Linked DNA regions of Cricetulus griseus. The protein of the gene in region 1 purifies or fractionates together with the protein of each later gene. This does not show direct contact. Links are inferred from orthologs where the notes say so. Each region holds a gene or a part of one and is shown in the gene's direction. Other genes may lie near its edges.

What was found. Proteins that work in one complex are often made in the same cells at the same time.
Region 2: the proteins of Rhobtb1 (region 1) and Cops6 purify together in Homo sapiens (affinity purification with mass spectrometry; 4 studies listed by BioGRID and IntAct, counting the BioPlex papers as one, with this or other methods). This does not show direct contact. The link is inferred for Cricetulus griseus from reciprocal best matches to the Homo sapiens genes RHOBTB1 and COPS6.

Annotation. Positions count from the first base shown.
Region 1 is NW_023276806.1:268,395,773-268,406,594, reverse strand, and holds the start of Rhobtb1 (rho-related BTB domain-containing protein 1), read left to right. Parts: upstream 1-4,331; 5' UTR 4,332-4,442; exon of another isoform or gene 4,443-4,851; intron 4,852-4,953; exon of another isoform or gene 4,954-5,087; intron 5,088-6,967; 5' UTR 6,968-7,017; intron 7,018-10,822.
Region 2 is NC_048597.1:116,885,529-116,896,087, reverse strand, and holds Cops6 (COP9 signalosome complex subunit 6), read left to right. Parts: upstream 1-3,914; 5' UTR 3,915-4,495; coding exon 4,496-4,622; intron 4,623-4,831; coding exon 4,832-4,954; intron 4,955-5,145; coding exon 5,146-5,277; intron 5,278-5,693; coding exon 5,694-5,782; intron 5,783-5,877; coding exon 5,878-5,940; intron 5,941-6,308; coding exon 6,309-6,356; intron 6,357-6,692; coding exon 6,693-6,807; intron 6,808-6,885; coding exon 6,886-6,978; intron 6,979-7,071; coding exon 7,072-7,172; intron 7,173-7,289; coding exon 7,290-7,430; 3' UTR 7,431-8,001; downstream 8,002-10,559. Other genes in the region: Znf3 (zinc finger protein 3), read right to left, coding at 689-732; DNA replication licensing factor MCM7, read right to left, coding at 8,524-8,725, 8,895-9,004, 9,763-9,931, 10,474-10,557. UniProt on the Homo sapiens protein: Component of the COP9 signalosome complex (CSN), a complex involved in various cellular and developmental processes.

The DNA of each region.
Region 1 (10,822 bases):
CATTGCAACAGCAGCTGTGTCAACCCAGCAATCTCCACCAACAGCTGTTTTTCAATAAACCTTTTGACCAAATGCAGCTGTTCTTTAAAGTAGGCAGATTGGCCAGCTAGCTTACTCTCTCCCGCATCTTCACCCCCTGACTTATCTGAACACTTACCTGAAATGACTCCTTAGCAGCTGCCACTCATTGTCCAGGTAGCCTTTCATACCTCCAGCCAGGTCTGGCATTCCAAACCAATGGGTGGGCGGTGGAAGCTTGCTGGCCCGGGTGGTCCAAGCCACCTACAAGCTATTGCATTGATCGCTAGAGGAGACATTTGCGCCTGCGCAGAAGGGAGGGGCGTTGGCTCCTCGGGCTGTCGGTTACAGACCGCTAAAATGAGGACTTAACACCACAAGACTAAGAAAATCCTCTCCATGGGAATTTTATGTAAGTAACTTCCCATACCCACGAATATACTGAGAAAAGGCTTGGGCAATAGAAGCCCAGAGCACTTGTAATTGAATTGATTGACAGAGTTTTCCGGGTGGGTGGGGGTAGTGGTGCATATTTAATTTGCAATTTGAAATTTATGACCCCGTAATATTTTTTATTTAATTCAACAATGAAGAGCTGAAGGGTTGGCTGAGCAGCTTTGAGTCTTGCAGCTCTTGCAGAGGACTGGAGTTCAGATCTCAGAACCCACTGCTGGGCAGCTCTCAACCACCTTTAAACTCCACCTCCAGGGATCTGACTCCCTCTTCTGGTTACTGCAGGCACCTGCACTAATGTGTGCATACTCCTAGGCAGAATTACCTAAGTACACATACCTAAACATAAAAATAAATATTTTTTTTAAAATTTAAGAATATTCAAAAAAAGAAAGCAATCCACCTATAAAATAACCAAAGACATAAACATCCCTTTCAGCAATAAAGAGATAGGTGTGGTCAGTTAGCCCAGGAAGAGATGTTTGACAGTGTTAATCATTCCAGAAATGCAGATAGAAACCACAATGAGTTGGTTCTCTACTACTGAGCAGTAATTTTGTAAAAAAAAAAAAAAAAAAAAAGTAATGATACTAATGGTCGAAATGTAAAACATACAGTCCTTCTGAAAATAAAACCCGAGAGCTTAGAATTTAGAATTTGATTCAGGATTGACATTCTTAAGCATTCATCCCAAAGAAAAGACAATCCACACAAAAAACTTGTGTACAAATGTTTATGGAGGTGTTTTTGCACTGGAGCAAAATATTGGAAGAACTTGAATGCTATTCCATGGGTTAATGAACACACCCTGGTGTGTCCATATAACAGATCTTTAGTCAGAAATGAAAAGAAATGAACTATTGATGCAGATGACACCCTGGAGGGACCGCAAGGGCAGTATGTGCAGTGCAAAAATTCAATCTGAAAATCATATACATTGATATTCCAAATAATATGTCTCATCATGGTTTGAATGCCAAAGGGTCAGTAGCAAGTAGTTTTACTGGTAACTACTTATATATGTAAATTGCAGTGTTTAAAATTTTATCATTATTGTGTGTATGTGTGCATAAGCACACACATGTAAGATGGCTGACTTAGGATGTTTTTGGTTGTTTGTGTGTTTCCATTGGGGGGAATGTTTTATTTTGTTTCTTGGGTTTGGTTTCATTTTTTATTTTCAGTTTTTTGTCATTGGTTTTTGTTTTTTGTTATTTTTGCTGAGGATTTTTTTTTTTCAGGGAAGTCAATGCCACTGGTAAAATACCATAAAAACTCTAACATCACTTTTGGGCACTAAAACAGGTATGTGGAGAGAAAAATGTTGGCTAATTTCCACTGAGGCTCCAATTCTTGATAGGTGGGGTGAACAGTGTTGATCATGTTTGCCAACAGTAAGTAGTTCTTGACCGGAAAGGCTGGTTCGTCTGTGGGCTGGAGCACAGACAAGGTCCTGCAAGACGCTGCGTGTTGTCCCATTGTTCCTCTTTGCTCTTTCCTGTTGGTAGTTACAGCGCATGCAGCCCAGTCCTCCACCTTCATGAATCAGAAGTCATGTGTGTGCAGTTTGGGGCTGTGCAGCCCAGGGTGTAGATGGCAGTGTCTTTTTGAGATTCCCATCATTGCATGGGAAAAAAAAAATGTCCAACCATTTTTCCTCTGCTGTCTCTGAAGTCACAGTTAATAACAATTTGTTTTCCTGGAATTTCTTCCAATCATTTCCCCTCAGGTTCGGGTATCCCGTGACGCCCATTCCAAGACAGCTAGTGGCTGTTCCTTACCCACTTCACAGGGATGGTCATTTGGGAGATCGGGAGACGGGCAGGAAGAAGAGTCCCAAGGGCATACACAGTGCTGAATGTGTTCCTACTCTTGGCATCTGCTTGATGCTTCAGAAAAGCATTGTCACTTATCCATTTCATTGTTGGTGCACATGTGCAGGTGTGTCAGTGTGCACGCACACACACACACACATGCTCATGTGTATGGTATAATACGTGGTACACATCTGTGCTCTTACTTGTGGATTCCAGAGGTCAACCTTGGGGTTGTTCCATAGGAGCACACCCCCACCTTTGAGACAGGGTCTCTCATTGGGACTAGAGGCTGCTGAATCAGCTAGGCTGTTGAGCCAATCAGCCCCGGGCATCCTCACCAGATAAGGAATCACATGGCCATGCCCGTTATACCAGGCTTTTTGCAGTGCTGTGAAAGATCAAACTCAGGTTCTCATCCTTGTGTGACAAGCACTTTACTGTGCCATCTCACCATGCTCATCTTTTTAATGTATGACTGAGGAAGTGAAAGACACTGAAGAGGACCGGATGTTACAAAGAAAGCCGGTGATAAGACCATCCCTGGATGACCCAGGCACAAGTGTCAGCAACTAACAACACACACAAAAAAAATTAATTTTCTTTGTCTCTGTTACCCCATCTGTAAAATGGGTCTGATGGTAACAGTACATGGCCTCCTCTGTTGTGATGATCCAATGAGGGAAAAAAAAATGTGTTTTGAACTATTCCCCTGCTGCATTTTGGGGCCACAATACATATTGCTTCCCATTTCTTAGTTACTGTCCTATTGCTCAGTGCCCAGGGTGGCTTGAAAGGAAGTGATTTGACATGAAGTAGAATTGCTTGCTAACAGCATCGGGGTCAATTAACTTTCTCACAGAAATACATTCATGAAGAAAATGACTATTAAAAACAAACTGCGGGGAGTCTGGTCCTTGCCAAGCAAATGACCACAGACCCATATGGATATACCCTAGACTTGTCATATACCAGACAGTTTCAAAAGGTTATGGCCTTGATGGCCTCTTTTCCAGCAACCGTGAATTAAGGATTTTAGACTGCACAGGTTGCCGCACTACATTTTCTTGTAAAAAACCTTTTTATTTACCCAGTATGCTGGTCATGGTACCTGAGAGGTGGAGGCAGAAGGGTCATGAGTTCAAGGGCAGCCTTGACAAGCACAGCAATTTTGAGATCAGGTTACAGGAGACCCTGGATCTAAGGGAGGGGCAGGGAATTACCAAAAGGACTGAAATTAATTCAAAAATTGTGGGAAGAGAAATCCATCTAAGAAAATCAAAGGTGGTTTTCTGAAAGGAGAGGGTGGTACTGAGAGAGAGATTTGTTTACTCTTCTTTCTTTAGGGGGGACTTGGAGAATAACACAAAGAAACAGCCCTTACATTAAAATATAACTCCTCCTGCCCCCACTCCTGAAATCTTGGCAGAGGCCAAGGATGAAGCGTGGCCATCTTTGTGTCCGCCTTGGTGCTCAGCCTTTACAAGGGTTTATAAACGGTAACACATCCCTAGCTGAAGGCATTCACACCCTAATCCCCCAGCTGTCTTTTTGCCGGACTGGAGTGAGCGGATTACACAGTTGAGCCCAACAGGCAGTTTAGAAGGCAGACTGAAAGTTCCCTGCGGGCAGGAGCCAAATGAGTTGTGTCCACGGTCACCTCCTTAGAGCTTGACATGATGCCTGGCATCCCTAGGCACCTATGCAGTTCTTATGTGTCTGCATGAAAAATGGCCATGATTCTGCCCTCAGAACTCACAATAGGCTTCAAAGTCGAGAATGTCCCTGAGAAGGGACACTCTGGCTTTCTTTGGTTTCCAAGAATTCCTGCCGACCCAGGAGAGGCCAATGTCAGTTTCAGATCTACCCCCAACCTCTCTAAAAGGAGCTGTGAAGCGTCTGTTTCTGGGGTCTGGAAGAGCAGGGCGCCCCCATCACCCCACCCCGCTTCCTGCAGAGACCCCTCAAACCCGGTGGTGGGGAAGGTGACCAGGAGGGGGAGAGCCAGCCCGCACGTGCAGCGCCCAGGGGAGGAGGCTGGGCCAGCGCAGCGCTTAGTCAGCAGCTGGGCTCGGTTTTGAAACAAAAGCCAATGTCCTCCCTCGGAGTCTGCGGCCGGTCAGTTCCTAGGGGGAAGAAAGCTATGCTGCCCAGCCGGTTAGTGGCCCAACTTACTTTTCCTGAGCCCGGGACTGAGGGCCAGCGGATGTTTGGGAGTGGGTGGGATGCTGCGGGGAGGGGGCTCGGGGACAGCTCGCACACACCCTGCCCTGCTCTGGCGTCAGCTTGGCCTGAGGCCGGGCTCCCGTGGGTGCCAGGCACACGCTGGTCCGGACCAAGCACCCCGGAGCCCAGGCCCTCCGGTGTGCGTGCAGTCGAGGCACCTTCGCCACCTCGCGTCCCACAGCTCCGACACAACAGGCCCTGGTTTCATGAATGAAATCCAATCGTGTGGTTATAAATAGCCGCCAAGGCTGCTCACGTCACGGTGGAGAGAGGGAGCGATCGGAGGCCGCCACCGCGTTGCTCGCTCCGTGCCGGGGCTCAGGGTTCCGCCCGGTGCCCCGCCTGGCCGGGGACGGGGGCGGGAGGAGGGCAGGGCTGGAGGCGACAGCGACCTGGGGACGAGCCCCGTGGCCTGGGCCAGGACGCGGACGCGGCCGGGCGCGGCTGTGCCATGCTGCCTTTGTGCCACGCCGGGCGGGTGGCGCGCGGCGCGCAGGGTCCCCGCGTCCCCGCGAGCGCGCGCGGCGGGGGCCGCTCCTGAGCGGCGGAGAGAGCCGAGTCTCGCTCGGCTGCAGGGTAGGTGGCTGTGTCGTGCAGAGTCCCAGTGCAGAGCCCCAGCTCCCGATCGCCCTGAGGGTGGCAGGTGGGGACCCCGGCCCATGTGTCCCAGCGACATTTGCGGGAGCGAGCTGATGGGAGGCAGGGGACAGTCCCCTCCCAGGCGCGTGAGCTGAAGAGATACCCGCCCCAGCCGCACCCCTAACTTGTAGCTGCTGAGAACACGTACAACAGGCACCTAAGGAGGCCGGCTGCACCAGGGCGGGTGCTGCCGCGCCCCCGGGGAAGGCGCCTTTTCCTCGAAGGACCGTGGCGAGGAACCCGGGACCGGAGAAGCGAGGTGCTCTGTTCCCCTGGGCGCTTGCACTGCCGGGAGCAGGGTGTTCAGGTGCACGGCGACGCCCCTCGCCCTCCCCCCACCCCAAGCCCTGTGTGTAAGGGAGTCGGTTGTGAGTTGCTGTGACAACCGGTACACGCTGCCTGTGAGGGACTTGCACACACCCGAACTTGTGCGTGGGCTTCAGCTTACTGGGTTAAGCTTACAGCCAGGTATGGGGGAGATGTGCAGAAGAGATCCACACCCACCCCACCCCACCTCATCCCACCCCACCCCCCAAAAAAAACAAGCGGAAGGAAGGCAAGGCTGTGTAAAAATATATCATTCGATCCCTCTGTTGGCGGTGCGGTTTCCATCCCGTATCAAACTACTCAACGGAGGAGCAAAGTCAATATTTAGACTTGGACAAGCCAGAAAGTTAGGAGGGAGAGCCAAACACAGGGTTTTGACTTGGCTTTTCACGTCAGCGCACAAGCTGTGACTTTGGAACTGACTGTGCTGGGGGGGGGGGGGGGTGCATGAAGATTGATGCACATACACCGTCACAGAAAGCTGGGGAACTGCAGAAAGTAGAGAGCAGTCATCCTGACTGAACCTCCCTGGCCTGTGTTTGGGGGGAGCTGCTGAACTCTTCTTGGATACTTAGTTTCATTAGCTCTGGAGTTTCTCCCATCCCGGTTGCTGGACTGGCTGCTTCAAGAAACTCCTTGAGACTCAAAATCATCCCAAGCTTCCAGGGGCTTTCCGCTTTGCCAGGGGGCCGATAGTAAACCGTCAAGAGACTCCTAAGTTCACTTACAAACACTACCTTGAGACTCGGTGCTGTATTTCATCTTCAATGATCGTTTGGGCGTCTATGAGACCTGGTGCTTCCCATAAGATAAACTCAAGCTTTTAGACTGTGAAGAACGTCTATCTGCATGTTGCTCCACAGGTGGAGTGAGCAGTCAATTATTATGTTAAACAAGGTTCCCCTGGAGATTCCTCGATCATATTTGATTGTTAATGGGGGTATGGTTTTGACCCATTTCATCCCAGGGTAGAAGGCTTTGAACTACCATTGGGGGTGGGGGTGTTAGCAACAATCTTTTAAGTTTGCCTACTCTTACCTTCCAAGACTGTGAAGGTCGTGTGCATTTCAAGGCACAGGGCTATGTGTAATCAATCACAAAGAGGCACAGAAGCTAGTTGGTGTTAATGAATTAATACTGCCACAAAAAAAGAAGAAGAAACCAGAATTGCTTGCTTTGGGGTTAAGGTGATGTTGTTTTAAAATCAAGAGTCTGAGTTTTCACTGTGTCTCCCATCAGCTTGTGGCTAAGTGTTTTTTCTGTAACATCCCCAAATGCTCAGAAATATACTTTTGTGGATGCTATAAAATGTTAACATAGCTATTTCAGGATACACTTGACCCAAAGAAATGCCAGTGTATGCATGACATCAGCTAAAATCAGGTGGCTGTAGAGAGAGGGAGAGAGATAAAAAACATGCAAAAATCCATGAGCTCCCATGGGCTCCTGGCAGGCAGTGAGATTTCAACAGTGTTTCTCTCTGTCTCTAGGTAAGTCCAGCTACGAGCAGGGACTTCTGTTCTTCACTTCCGTGAGCCAGGTCAGTATCTTTGTGCAAACCCACAACACACAGATGGATGGTGCAGTCGCTGAGGCTGAATGTGGGTTTTAGAACAGGTTTCTTCATGTGTCTTGGAAGAATTGGGTTTTGCCTCTTGCCTTGTTTATTGGAAATGACGCAAGCTCTTTGTTGATGGAAATCGTCCTATTTTCTCTGTGAGGAAGATGGTGCTAGCATGAACCTTGTGCCCCTCACTCCTTTCTGCGGTTTTCTTACTAACTTGAAAATTAAAATGGCACTAGACAGCTGAGGATCTTGGGAATCTGGGTCTCAGTAATGGAGACAATTCAACTTCATCTTAGCCTTCAGGACATAGAAGTAAACTTGACAGAATAGTAGTGGACATTTGTTGAGTTTGAGTCAAGATTTGGGTAGTGTTTGCTTCTGTACATTTATGTTTTTATTCTACGGGTATTGTGTATTCATATAAATGGACAAATATCACATATATATATATATATATATATATCTGTGGTATGCAACAACTTTTGATTAATTTTTAAAATTTTACCTTACTCTAAGACATAAACTCTTATTTGAAAACTTCTTCTTCAACAGGGAGACTGGGGCCAAGGGAGGTTAAGCGATTTGTTTAACCCAGTAACTACAGATCACCCAGTGACGCTCAACGGAGCAGCTGTTCCTGTTGAACAGATTCCACTCCCTTGAGTAAGAGTAGGGAACTTCCTAGCATGGATCTGTTAAGGATAAGAATTTTTATTACAGGAGGTAGGTGGGTTCCAACTCTTAAGAAGTTTCCAAGCCAATTTAAGAGGCAAGACATCAGGCCTTCCCATATGAAATGATAGAGAATAAACCATGGTTGTGCAGGTCCCAAAGCTGAAAGGTGGGGACGGGTCCCACAGAACTTTCATAAGAAATTCAGTATTTTCTGTTCTGTGAGATTACTTTTGAATCCCATGTACCAAGCACAAGTTTTCAGCTACATAGATGAGCATTTGGGAATAGGCAGGAGGTAGAATTTCAAACCATCAGAGACTGAGTAGTTGTTTCGAGCCATGAAGTTATAGGACCATGGAGGCAGAGACACCATCTCTTACAAGCACTCTGCAGAAGTCTTTGGTAAAAGCACACACTACACTACTAGGGAGCCTCGAAGTAGAGTAGCCCTTCAAAACCTCCACCTGCCTGAAATGTTCTACTTCCAGCAGACAGGTTTGTATACATAGTAGATAAATCCCAACCAGAGTTCTGAAAGAGGCCAGTATCTAAAGTCACAGACATTTCCCATTTGCATCAGAATTAACAGCATCTCTTGCCTCTGTTTCCCTCCTCGATCTTTAAAGAATAATTTATAATGGTTGTCGATCCTTCTCGGGGAACTTTAAACGCAGAGTCATTAACAAGGGGGTAGGGAATGGATTATTAAGGAGTCCTCTAGATGCCATCTTTTTAACATGTTTTTTTAACATCTTTTTAACAGCTCACCTAATAGCGTTGGAAAAGCACACTTAGTTAAGGGATATTTCTGATCAATTAAAAGATAGTTACATGCTATCCTATAAAAACTTGGTCTATAAAGTTTATTATATCTTAGACCATGACAAGACAGATCATACTCCATGGTTTGTATTGGGGAGATTCCATTATGGGCCAGGACCTCACCATTAACTGATATATGGCTAGCTGTGATGAATGGTATGCCATAAAAAATAATCAATATGACAATCATAAACTTATGATTTATTTAAAGTAGTCAAATTACAGAATGTTAGGGCCGAGAAGAATCTTTGAATTAGCATGCTATCTCTAATGATAATTAGTTATCAGTCAGCTGTTTTACTCCCTTATTTTTTTTTTGGACATCAGCAGGCTTTGGTTATGGTGTGTGGCTTGTCTCTTGTAAAACAGAAACATTTGGAACGTTGCTGGCTTTGCTTGGTAAACTGACTTGTAGAAAACAGATAAACCCTGGGCCTGAGAGATGGCACAGTCTGTAAAGTGCTTGCTCTACAAACATGAGGCCCTAAATTATTGGATTTCCAGAAGATACCTTTAAAAGAAAAAAAAAAAAAAAAGAAAAGGCTGAGCATGCTTGTAATTCCATTGCTGGGGAGGCAGGGGCTTGATGATCTGTCAGCCTAGACAAGCAAATCTCAGCCTAGTGAGAAACACTGCCTGAAAAGAAAAAAAAAAAAATGTACAGTGCCTGGGGCACAAGAGCCAGAGGTTCTGTGGCCTCCATGTGGGCCTTTGAGCTTACACACACACACACACACACACACACACACACACACACACACACACACCTTATCTCCTTGTTGGTATTGTGATAATAGAAAGCCTCCCTTTAGCTTCCCATAACTGGTGATTTGAATCTGGTCTTTGTTCTGACCTTCTTTTCTCCACCAAGGCTCTCCATCAACCTCACTACTCTAAAAACTTGGAGAAGGAATTTGAAATACATTACAATAGCTAAGTAGGAAAAAAAAAACATAGGGGATAAATCATGGGAGTGGTAGGAGATGGGGGAGGGAAAGAAAGCTTGGAAGGTGGCAGCAGACAGTGATCAAATGGACAGAACAGCTACCGATGGGCTACCTGGGTATTGTTCTAGTTGGTAAAACACATAAAACCAGTGACTAGCATACAATCAGCCACGTCTCTCAGCCCCTTTGTTCCCTAGGCACCTTAGGGCAGAACTTGGGAAATGGGCCAGTCAAGACATGGGGAATGAAGGGTGAGCATAGCCTTGGTCTTCCAAGACACCCGTGGCACTGCCTGTCTTCAGGTATTCCTTTTAGCAGTGACTCAGACACATGGGCACGGAAGGCTGAAGTGCCAGGAGGTCTAGACAGAGCAATTACACTTCTCTACCGGGGTCTTGAATTTATTTCTTGGGCAATGGCAAGTTCCCAGTGCTGATGGGTTTTGATCTCAGGCTCTGTCTGTGGAGAAATTTCCTTTGAATTTTTAGCCAGCCTTAAGGCTAACCAGCCACTTCTGGTTTATAACTAGCTGGTCATAGCTTGGTCCCTGGCTATAACAACCACTAGGACTTCTTCCGTTCTTCCAAGATGCCAAGTATTGACTGCTCTATGACTTATATTCATTATCAATTCCAATTTAACAGAAGCAAAGCAAAGGGGAGAGAAAGACAGAGACTAAGAGACATTCAGTCAAGGAGCTAATAGGAAATGGAGCTTGGACTGAGTGGACTTTAGTCTGACCAAAGATTTGAATGCATTCTTGATGAACTCCTGGAAATGGGTACTTTAGCCTATTCAGTCCAGGCTACTCTTGCAAGGGGAGAAGAAACACAGGTGCTAAATGCCACATCCATGTGTGACGTGACTAACAAATGCATAATTTGAGCTACCTGGTCATCTTGCCTACACAAATCTGCTAGCGGAGGGTCATTTCTAATGGATGTTGATGAAAGTCGCAGACATAAACACTCAAGTCAGTGAGGGTTGAATCATGGAGTCAGGAAAGTCCTTATAAGGTCCCTTGCTTCAGCCTCCCTCTGGTGGCAAAGCCCTAGCTGGCACCAGTGAAATGATGTAACTTGACCACCCTCATAGTTAATAAGTGACTTCTCTTGAACTCAGCCCAGGTCCCCCAATCCAACCCAGGCTTCCATCCCGTTACATAACACCACCTAGAAAGTGCCAAGGCTTCTGAACTCTCCAACTTTGCCACAGTTCCAAACAGTGAGTCCAAAATACACACACAACCTAAGTCATGTTCAGCAAAGGGTGATAAGAGGGTTGCCAGCAGGATACTGATACGGCGGGTACTAGTAGCAGCCCTCCTTATCGGC
Region 2 (10,559 bases), on another chromosome or scaffold:
CAACTGTATGAGACCCCATCACAAAAAGGACAAAAACAACAAAATTATCTCCTTTTAAAAAGGTGAATCAGGCGTGAATGACACGCCTTTAATCCCAGCACTCGGGAGGGAAGAGGCAGGCAGATCTGTGTGAGTTTGAGACCAGCCTGGTCTACAAGAGATAGTTCCAGGACAGCCTCCAAAGCCACAGAGAAACCCTGTCTCGAAGGAAAAAAAAAGGAAGCAGCGCAGGCCTTTAACCCTGGGAGGCTGAAGCAGGCAGATCTCTAAATTCAAGGCCAGCCTGGTCTATAAAGCAAGTCCAGGACAGCTGGGGTTTGGGAGTGTGTCAACAACTTGACTGGGTGGCACTGGCCTGAAATCCCAGTACCTGAGAGTCTCAGACAGGACTGTAAGTTCCAACCCTCAAACCCAGCCCCTATCTCAAAGAAACACACATATAAACAAACACGCACAGGCTCAGCACGGCTGCCTCCAAAGAGGCAAGCTGGGCACGATGACCCATGCCTTTGATCCCAGCACTTGGGAGGTGGGCTTCAAGGTCAGCCTGGTCCAAGGACTGACAGGGCTTTGTAGAGAGATCCTATCTCAAACAACACACAAACAACAGAGTAAAAGGCAACATTCCCCATTCAAGGCTGGGTTAATGGAAGCTGGATCTCCAGCATACTGGTAAGGACAAGCTCACAGTGTCTGAGTCAGTAAACAATGTTTCTCATAGAAACTCTGCATAGTACTCCTGCCATCTTCGTGTGGGCAGAGACTTTCCCCTCCCCTGCTCAAGCTGCTCAGGGGACCAAGAAAGACCACATGACAGGGAGGACAGGTCAAGAGAAGCCTCCCTTCCTGGATCCATTCTTCCTTCTATGGAGTTAATCCCTGTAAGAGTAAAGTAACAAAGAAATTTGGCACCTTTTATTCAGTTCCTGGGATTTTATTTATTTATTTTTGGGCTTCCTTTATTGGGTAAGACCTCATGGTATACCCCAGACTAGCCTGGAATTAACTGTATAGTACAGACTGGCCTCGAAATTATATTCATACTCCCGCTTCATTTTCATCTGTTCTGGGATTAGAGGCATGATCTAGCAAGCTTGGTTAATTCCTGGAAATTCATTTTAGGTTAGCATTTCTCAACAAGGGTGGGGGAGTGGGGGGTGGGGTGGGGTGTTGAATGACCCTTTCATAGAGGTCACCTAAGAGGAGCAGAAAACACAGGTATTTCCGATTGATAACAGTAGCAAAATCACAGTTATGAAACAGCAACAAAAATAACGGTATGGTTGGGGTCACCACACCATGAGAAACTGTATTAAAGGGTCGCAGCGTTAGGTTGAGAACCACTGCTCTAGGTGATACCGGTGGTGCATGCTTAAGGAGCAAAATGGAAAAATACCGTGAAGTTTATTTCTAGTATAGATGCTTAAGAGGTATGTCAGGGAAAGGGATATGGATATATATACATATATATACATATATATATATATATATATATATATATATATATATATATCTCCACACACGGTCTTTGTTTTTCATTGCACGCTACAGAGCTGAGCTGAAATGACACAGGTTCTCTGGCGCTGGACACACTCAGCCACTTTCTGCAGGGCGTCTGCTGCAGCCTTGTGCAGCTTCGCCAGGAAACCTGCCTATCTGTAGGGCGTTAGGTCTTGGTGAGGAGCGCATGGGGCCCGAGTTCGCACCTCCTCGCAAGCTCTAGTTCTCACTGCTACTCTCACTCTCCGATCCAGTCCAGGAAAAACAAACTCCCTTCTCCTGCCCCCAGCACCGAGAGACGCCGGGAATTTCAGACACGGGGGCTGGCGGTGGAGGACACGAGCAGATCCGGAGTCCCCGCTGCGCGCCCAGGACCCCGCGGGCTGCAGGGGCGTGAACACCAACCCCCTTCCCCGGGGACCACACTGCCGCCTCACCGCGAGTCCCGAAGACGGCCCCACTCACCCTGGGGACAGGGACGTAAGACTTAGGGGCCCGGACACGAACCAGGCCCCGATGGACAACCGAGAACAGAACAAAGAACGGAAGTGCCCCCTCCCCGTTTCATTTCCGGGTCGTCCTTCTTCACCACCCACTGCAACCCCTGAGAGCCGAACGCCCATTTGCTCTCTCTAGGAAAATAGGAGGTCTTCATCTCTGATGGTACGCTGACTCAAAGACGACTGCTGTGCAGGAAAAACAAGTGCTCCGGACTGCGTCACCTGCTGGCCAGGTCGGGAAGGGACCTGGGAATTCAGGGCACAAGTTCCGATGTCTCTGGGAGAAGGTACAGTGGGTAGGGACCAGCCAACACCATCTCCCAAACCTCCACAACAAATTTAAGAAACTTGAAGAATCTGTTAATATACATGAGCATCATGGGCTGAAGGTTCGGCTCAGTTGATTTTTTTAAGAAGATTTGTTTATTTTATTTGTTTTGTTTTTCGAGACAGGGTTTCTCTGTGTAACCCTGGCTGTCCTGGAACTCACTCTGTAGACCAGGCTGGTCTCGAACTCACAGAGATCCACCTGCCTCTGACTCCCGAATGCTGGGATTAAAGGCGTGCGCCACCAGCACTCAGCTATGAAGTAAGCTTTTCTATAGGACTCATATGCTATCTGATGATATTCTTAGCTTTTGGGTCAGCGCGTGTGCACATGCCCGCAAACACACACACACAAACACACATTGAAAATAAGTAAGTAAATAAAAATCATCTCCCATGTGTAACTAACATCTGAAAAATTCATTCTGAGACAGATGAAGGGGACCTAGTTCTCCTTGGGCCCTAGACAGGTGTTAAGCATTTTAAAAATAGTGTTAAATTGCTGTTAGCATTAACGTTTCTTTGTCTTGTTTTTCTTCTAATGGTAACCGCTTTAAGTTTATAGCATAGCCGGGCGTTGGTGGTCGATGGGGGCCATTTTTTTTTTTTTTTTTAAGATTTACTTCTGTGTGCATTGATGTTTTGCCTGAATGTATGCCTGTGTGAGGGTGTCAGGTCTCCTGGAACTGGAGTTACAAGTTGTGAGCTGCCATGTGGGTGATGGGAATTGAACCGGGGACCTCTGGAAAAACAGCCAATGCTCTTAACCTCTAAGCCATCTCTCCAGCCTATCAGGGGCCATTCTTATTCAAACCACCACAACACTGCACCTTCCCTATTGGTACAATCAAGCAGGATAAAGGCTTCTCTTATGTGATTTGCTGGCGGCAGCTTGATGGCTAGAGTCCTCTGCCAGAAAAGTGGTGGAGACTTCTACAAAGTTGCTTGATCACTGTGTTGTGGTTTGAAAGAAAATGGTTCCCAAAGGGAGTGGCACTATTAAGAGATATAGCCTTATTGGGGGAAGTATGTCACTGGGTAGGCGGGGGTGGGGTGGGTGGCAGGGGGTGGGCAGGAGGGCTTTGAGGTCTCTTTTGCTCAAGCTTCCTGCAGTGTGACTGTCAGTCACTTTCCTGTTGCCTGCAAGATGTAGGACTCTCAGCTACTCCAGCCCCACATCTGCCTGCACACTGCCATGCTCTGTCATGATGATAATGGACTGATCTTCTGAAACTGTAAGTGAGCCCCCTCAATTAAATGTTTTCCTTATAAGATTTGCCATCGTGATGGTGTCTCTTCACAGTGATAGAGACCCTAAGACAATTACTGAAGAGGTTCTGCCAGTAAGTAGCAGATACCACACCAGTGTGGCCCCAGATTCACCTGGCACCCATCCCACTGTGTGCCCAAAGTTCTCCCAGTAGCAGTCACTAAGTTGTGTAAGGAGTCAGGTTGCCCTGCCACTGAAGCAGCTAAACAGTTCAAGAGCAGTCACAGCTGAGGAGGTGGCTCAATGATAATGTGTTAGGATCTGAGTTTAAATCCCCAACACACACACAAAAGCTAGGCTTGCTGAGCATGGTGGCGCACGCACGCCTTTAATCCCAGCATTCAGGAAACAGAGGCAGGCGCATCTCTGTGAGTTTGAAGTCAGCCTGCTCTAAGAGCAAGTTCCCAGCCAGATGGGCTACACAGTGAGGTCCTATGTCAACAAACAAACAAGTGACCAAGTTCCTGCATACAGATTATATGCAACATGAAAAAGTTTAATATCTTGAATAAATTGCTTTCCACATCCTGCTAACAGCCTTGCTTCCTTTTGGTTGCAATTTTCTGGCTCCAGTACATACAATGCACCCACTGAGCGCTGGAAACGAACAGCCCTACTCTCCAGTGACTTCTGGCTGACCCAAGGCCTAGTGACTCTGCGCTTTGAGCATAAAATACCAGGGCTTGTTGATGCACACCTGTAATAACAGTACTTGGGAGGTGATGGCAGGCGGATCAAAGTGGAAGTCATCCTCAGATACACAATACAGAGTTCAAGGCCATGCTAGGTTACTTGAGAACAGGTAACAGCAACACAGTACGACGTGCTCTTGGACATCCAGGACTACCAAGGACTGGCAGATGCCCCGCCCTTTAGCAGCGCCAAGCACATACTGAGCATGCGCCGCTCGCCGACGGAAGCCGGGAAGGAAGGGGGCGGGCCGTGGCTGGCGGGCGCGGGGAAAATGGCGGCGGCGGCTGCGAACGGGAGCGGAGGCAGCAGCGGCATGGAGGTGGATGCAGCAGGTAACGGGCTGTGCGGAGCGACTTCTGGCATCGCCCTTGCGGAGTATCTTGAGTACTACCTAAGCCCGGGAGAAGCGACAGACAGCTGTCCCAGCGTAACTTGCGGGCAGGGATGGACGGCCCGGCTGCGCCGGTCCCCTACTCCCATGTCTAGGAGAGAATGTGAGGGCCCGAGCTTTCACCGCTGTGTTTTCCTTTACCTTTCACAGCCCCCAGCGTGATGGCCTCTGGAGTGACTGGGAGTGTTTCCGTCGCTCTTCATCCCCTTGTCATCCTCAACATCTCCGACCACTGGATCCGCATGCGCTCCCAGGAGGGGCGGCCTATGCAGGGTGAGGGCTGTGTGTAGACCTCAAACCCTCCTCTTGGAGACCTCCTCCAATCACTTTTCCCTCGCCTCCCACTTCTTCCAAATTAGTTCCCTCAATCATTGATTCACACTGACCTCAGAGTCTTGGGTTATGAGGAAAGATTTTGGATGCCTGTTCCCTCACCTATCTTTGGTGTGCTTCTCTCCTCTCAGTGATTGGGGCTTTAATCGGGAAGCAGGAGGGGCGAAATATCGAAGTGATGAACTCTTTTGAGCTGCTGTCCCACACCGTGGAAGAGAAGATTATCATTGACAAGGAATATTACTACACCAAGGAGGAGCAGTGTGAGAGGGGATACAAGTGGGTGGGAAAGAGAAGTGAAGTGGGAAGATTTGGGGGGGCAGGGGTTGGGTTGGTCTTAAGTAAAAGTGCATTGCTTCTCGTCCTTTTGGCTAAGATAAATGTAAGATAAAAGTGCTGGGGATGTAGGACAGTGGGTATAGTGCTTGCCCTAACATGCAAGAAGCCCAGAGTTAAGTCCTCGAGTATCATATAAACCAGGAGATGGAGACAGGAGATCAGAAATAAAAGGTTATTTTCAGCAAGTAAAGGATGAGCGATGGCAGAGTGTAGTTACTCCAAACTGAGCCAAAATTTGAGGAGGGAGGGAAGAACTGGTGAGGAAAAAAAGAAATACACCAAAGTCAGTGAAACGAAGAGCGGTTTAAAGAAATATTGTTTACATTGGCCCCTTCTTCAGTTAAACAGGTGTTCAAGGAGCTGGAGTTTCTGGGTTGGTATACCACAGGGGGGCCGCCTGACCCCTCCGACATCCACGTCCATAAGCAGGTATACAGGTTCAAATGTGTACATGTTGGGGAAGAGAACCAAACATAAGAGGAAGAAAGGTTGACTTTTGGGGGGTGCCTTCTCTTTTCTTTTAGGTGTGCGAGATAATTGAGAGCCCCCTCTTTCTGAAGTTGAACCCCATGACCAAGCACACAGATGTGAGTATTGCTGACCCTATGTCCCCTTTGTCTTTATCATCTACCACTCTGCCTGCTTTTGATCCTCATGCTCTGCTGTAATTTACTGTGTGACATCATCTGTATTAGAGAATGCTTGAGTTGAATGTCTACCATGCTGCTAGTTACCCATCAATTCTATGATGTCATCTTGTAAGTGGCACTTTCATATGTAATGTGGGTATGTTTTGGGGAAAATTGAAAAGGTGAGCCAAGTGTGTCCACATACTTTTAATCAGTTTTAGCACTCAGAAGGTTGAGGCAGGATTGTGAGTTCCAGGCCAGCCTGGCACATGTTTAAGTTCAAGTGCATTTGCTCTTAGTAAGAGTTGTCTCCATCTGTCTTACAGCTTCCTGTCAGCGTTTTTGAGTCTGTCATCGATATAATCAATGGAGAGGTAATACCTACCCTGCAACCTTCAATTCCTGCTTTTAGCCTGTTTCCTGCATGCCATGCACATGTATGCAGTCACAGGACCACCCTGGATGTCCATCCTTACTTTCTACTTTGTTTGAGACAGCATCTTGTTTGCCAGGCTGGTTGCCTGGGGGTTTCTGGGAATTGTGCCCTACTTCTGGTCTTGTAGGAGTGCTGGGGGTACAGACACATTCTTACCACATCTAGCTTACTGTGGGTTCTGAGGATCTAAAGTCAGATCCTCAGGGTTGTGCAGCCATCTGCTCCTTTGTTTCCGATTCTGACTCTTCTCATGTGGGAACCCTTTGCTCTGCAGGCTACAATGCTGTTTGCTGAGCTCACGTACACACTGGCCACTGAGGAAGCTGAACGTATCGGTGTAGACCATGTGGCACGGATGACAGCAACAGGCAGTGGGGAGAACTCCACTGGTAAGGGAGGTGAATTCTTTCGAAGTGTGGGGTGGCTGTGGTCACATACTGTCTTTCATTTGCCGCATTCCCCTGCAGTGGCCGAACACCTGATAGCTCAGCATAGTGCCATCAAGATGCTGCACAGCCGCGTGAAGCTCATTTTAGAGTATGTCAAGGCCTCAGAAGCAGGTAGGACAGGTGCCTCTGTCACTTTTAATCGTTTTTCCTCCCTCCTGGAGAAGTGACAGCATCCCCATCAGTGCAGCCTCATTGTACCCTTAGGAGAGGTCCCCTTCAACCATGAGATCCTGCGTGAGGCCTATGCCCTATGTCACTGTCTACCAGTTCTCAGCACAGACAAGTTCAAGACAGACTTTTATGATGTGAGTGTTAATACCCCTGTTGGGGAGGTGGGGCTCACACCATCACACCAACCTCAGTTGTCCTTGGCCCTAATGTGAGAGATCCCTGGGGAACTGGCTCTTTCTGTTCCCTCCCAGCAATGCAATGACGTGGGGCTCATGGCCTACCTCGGCACCATCACCAAAACGTGCAACACAATGAACCAGTTTGTGAACAAGTTCAACGTTCTCTACGACCGACAGGGCATCGGCAGGCGAATGCGGGGACTGTTTTTCTGATGAGGGTTCTAGAAGGGATGATGTACAGGGCTCAGACAACTGTTACTGGGCACTACATTCCCCTTAGAGAAACTGTCATTAATAAAAGAGCAGCCCCTTAGCAGCCCTTCCAGTGGCTTTGTCCTACCAGCCCCACACTGGTTTCTCAAACTTGGAATCCTCAAAGCAGCCCTGCTCAGAGGCAGAATCTACTCACCACTACGTCTCCACTGCCTACCCACCTTTTAATGACTTGAGGTAACCCCTTGTCTAGATAGGCAGAATGTGGTAGGACTGCCTGTTTGCTTCTAGTTCTGTGGTAGCAATTTACATAGGCCAACCCACAGAAATGACAAATGACTGCTTTTCCAGTCTCTGAACGGGAGGGATAAAGAGCCTATCTTGTAATTATGGATAACGTAAACCCTTGGTCCCATGGAAGTGAAAAGTACCAAGAGGAACAATTTCTTTGAGTCTCTACTTCAGCCCATCTGTGAAACTTCCACTGAAGTCATTTCTTGTGCCATCCTCCATCTCCTATTTCACCACCCTCTCAAGAGGTGGGAATTAAAAAGAATGTCTACAATGGAAATATTTCAAGAAATGAGTGGGAGCTGGGCATTGGTGGTGCATGCCTTTAATCCCAGCACTCGGGAGGCAGAGGCAGGCAGATCTCTATGAGTTTGGGGCCAGCCTGGTATCCAGAGCGAGTACCAGGACAGGCTCCAAAACTACACAGAGAAACCCTGTCTCAAAAAAAAAGTGGGCCCTAGGCCCTGATCCTGGCACTGTATTGATTAGCACACAGTAAGGCTCAGTGCTTCATACATACCAGGGGAGAAGGCTCTATTAAGTCCTTGCCACACCCTAGCTCTTAAATGTGGCAAGGTAGAATAGAAACTTACATTGGAATTAGTAGTGTTTGCCCATTCCCCAAAAAATGCTATCTTAACAGAAGCCAGGCCCAAAGTCAAAACATTTTATTAACAAACAAAAAAGTGCAGTATGGGAAAATTCGATCTGTTCCTTTGGGGCATCCAGCAAATGCTATGGGGTGCGCAGCAGGGCCTTAAAAGCTGGTCGTCAGACAAAGGGTGAACCTCAAAGCTGGTCATCAGACAAAAGTGATGCGTGTCCGAGAAGTATTGACCTGCCAGACATTTAGCTCCTCATATTCATCCAGAGCTGCCTGGAATTGGGCTGGTGTGAAACCACGTGATATGCAGCGCTGCTCAGCCTCAGAAAACCGGACACTTCGTCCCCCTGAGACCAATTCACGAACTGTGGCAAATATCACATCTGCTGGCCTCTGGGTCCTGAAACACATAGATGGAAAATGTCAGTGTGCAGGGCTAAGCAAACAGAATAGCAATCAGAATCAAAATCCTGAGGTCAAACTTGTATGTTTGGGTGCAGAAGCCACAAAACTTATGACCAGCTCAATAAAGTCAAGTGCCCCAATTTCATCTTCATTAAGACACTCACCTAGCTGTTTGTCCCTTTTCACCTAGAAGTGAGTCCTTTGACATCTCCATCAACCTTATGGCTTCATTTACATCTTCTTTTTCCACAATGTCCACCATACGGAGGCGAGCCTAAGGGGGAAGGCAAGAAAAAGATGGGGATAGGAGGGGAGAAAGGGGATGAAGTCAAAGGTCTTCACTGCTCCAGCTTCAAGGGTGGCAAGCCATGTTTGCCCACTTAAAAAAATGGGGACTCCTCCCTGCCCCCTCCCCCAATCTGCAGTGTTGGGCCGGCACTGTCAGACCGAGACAAGTGCAATGCCCAGGGCAGCTTCCAGCAATTGCCCAAGTCTCCGCCTCTCAACACTGGCCAGTCCCGGTAGGTGTTCAGCTGTCCTGTGAGGGAGACCAGACCCTTCTGAACTCCACTAGGTTCCCCATCATGACAAATGGGGCCTGGGGAGCTCAGCTAGGGTCATTGTCAGAGAGGTTGTGTCCTGGGGGCTCGGGAAGTGCTAGCTCAGCAGTAGGTCAGGTAATTACACTACCTGCACGAACAGCACTTTGGAGCCCCCATGACTAAGGTCCAAGAGGGAAGGACAGAATGGAGATATCTAAGACCATATATCTAGGACATCAGGAATTCAACAAGTCCATCTGCCCCTCTTGGATTTAAGTAGCAAGCAGCCTTTCCCTCCATGGGTGTTGTATGTGCCCTGCTGGAGCAGCAAGTACCCACAGTGCGGTAGCACAGAGAGGACCACTATCTGCACTGTCAGCACTTTAGCCCCAGCAGGGCTAGTGGGAGGGAGGAAGAGGCAGCCTGAGGGCCATTAAGGTGAGGTGGCAGGCAAGGGTCAGCCTTCCAGCTGACAGGACACAGCACTCACCAGAGCAGTAGAAAGTCGAAGAATGGCCAGTAGGGTCCGGGCAGAAGTATAGGTGGCATCCTTACTGGCCCGGGCCTCTCGCCTCATCTCTACATATGCTGCTGTGATGTAGTCAGCCAGAGATTCAGGCACGGTAGGCTGCCTCTCTCGGCACATGGCTATGTACCGTCTGTGGGAAACAAGGCTTGTGGGAAAGCAGAACACAGGCGTGCTTTATAGATTCCCTACTTAATATTCTATGCAGGAAGTGGACAGCTACTTGCTTGGGCATCACTGAGGGACTCCTCCAAAACAGGGCTGCCAGTGCTCAAGTAATTTGCAACTTTTCAGGAAAATTAATTTGCACTACACCTGCACTGGGATGACCTAACCCCTCTGAACTTGTCACAAAGGGAAGACCAGGTGAAACCAATTTAGAGACTTGAAGATCACTGAGATATCTATGCCACAGTACCACACATGATCAAGATGTACCTGCCTCACCGCTAGGTCAGGATGATGGTGAGGAAGGAAGGTTCTTCTATGTATGGGGAAGGGGGTAATTATGGCAACATTCCCAACAGACCTCTAAAGATCTCCTGTTTCCACAGTAGCTAGGATTAGAGCCTGCTGCTCTATCATCCCAAACTAGAAAAAAAACTTCTGATGATGCCCTCTGCCTTGTATGGCTAGGCTACAAAGTTGAGACCTGGGTTCACTCCCTACCCCTACCTCATAAGCTTCATGTCCAAAGGTTCAAACTGGGCAGGGGGCTGCCGGCTGTGCTGGTGGACATAGGTGATGTGCTGGGCCAACCT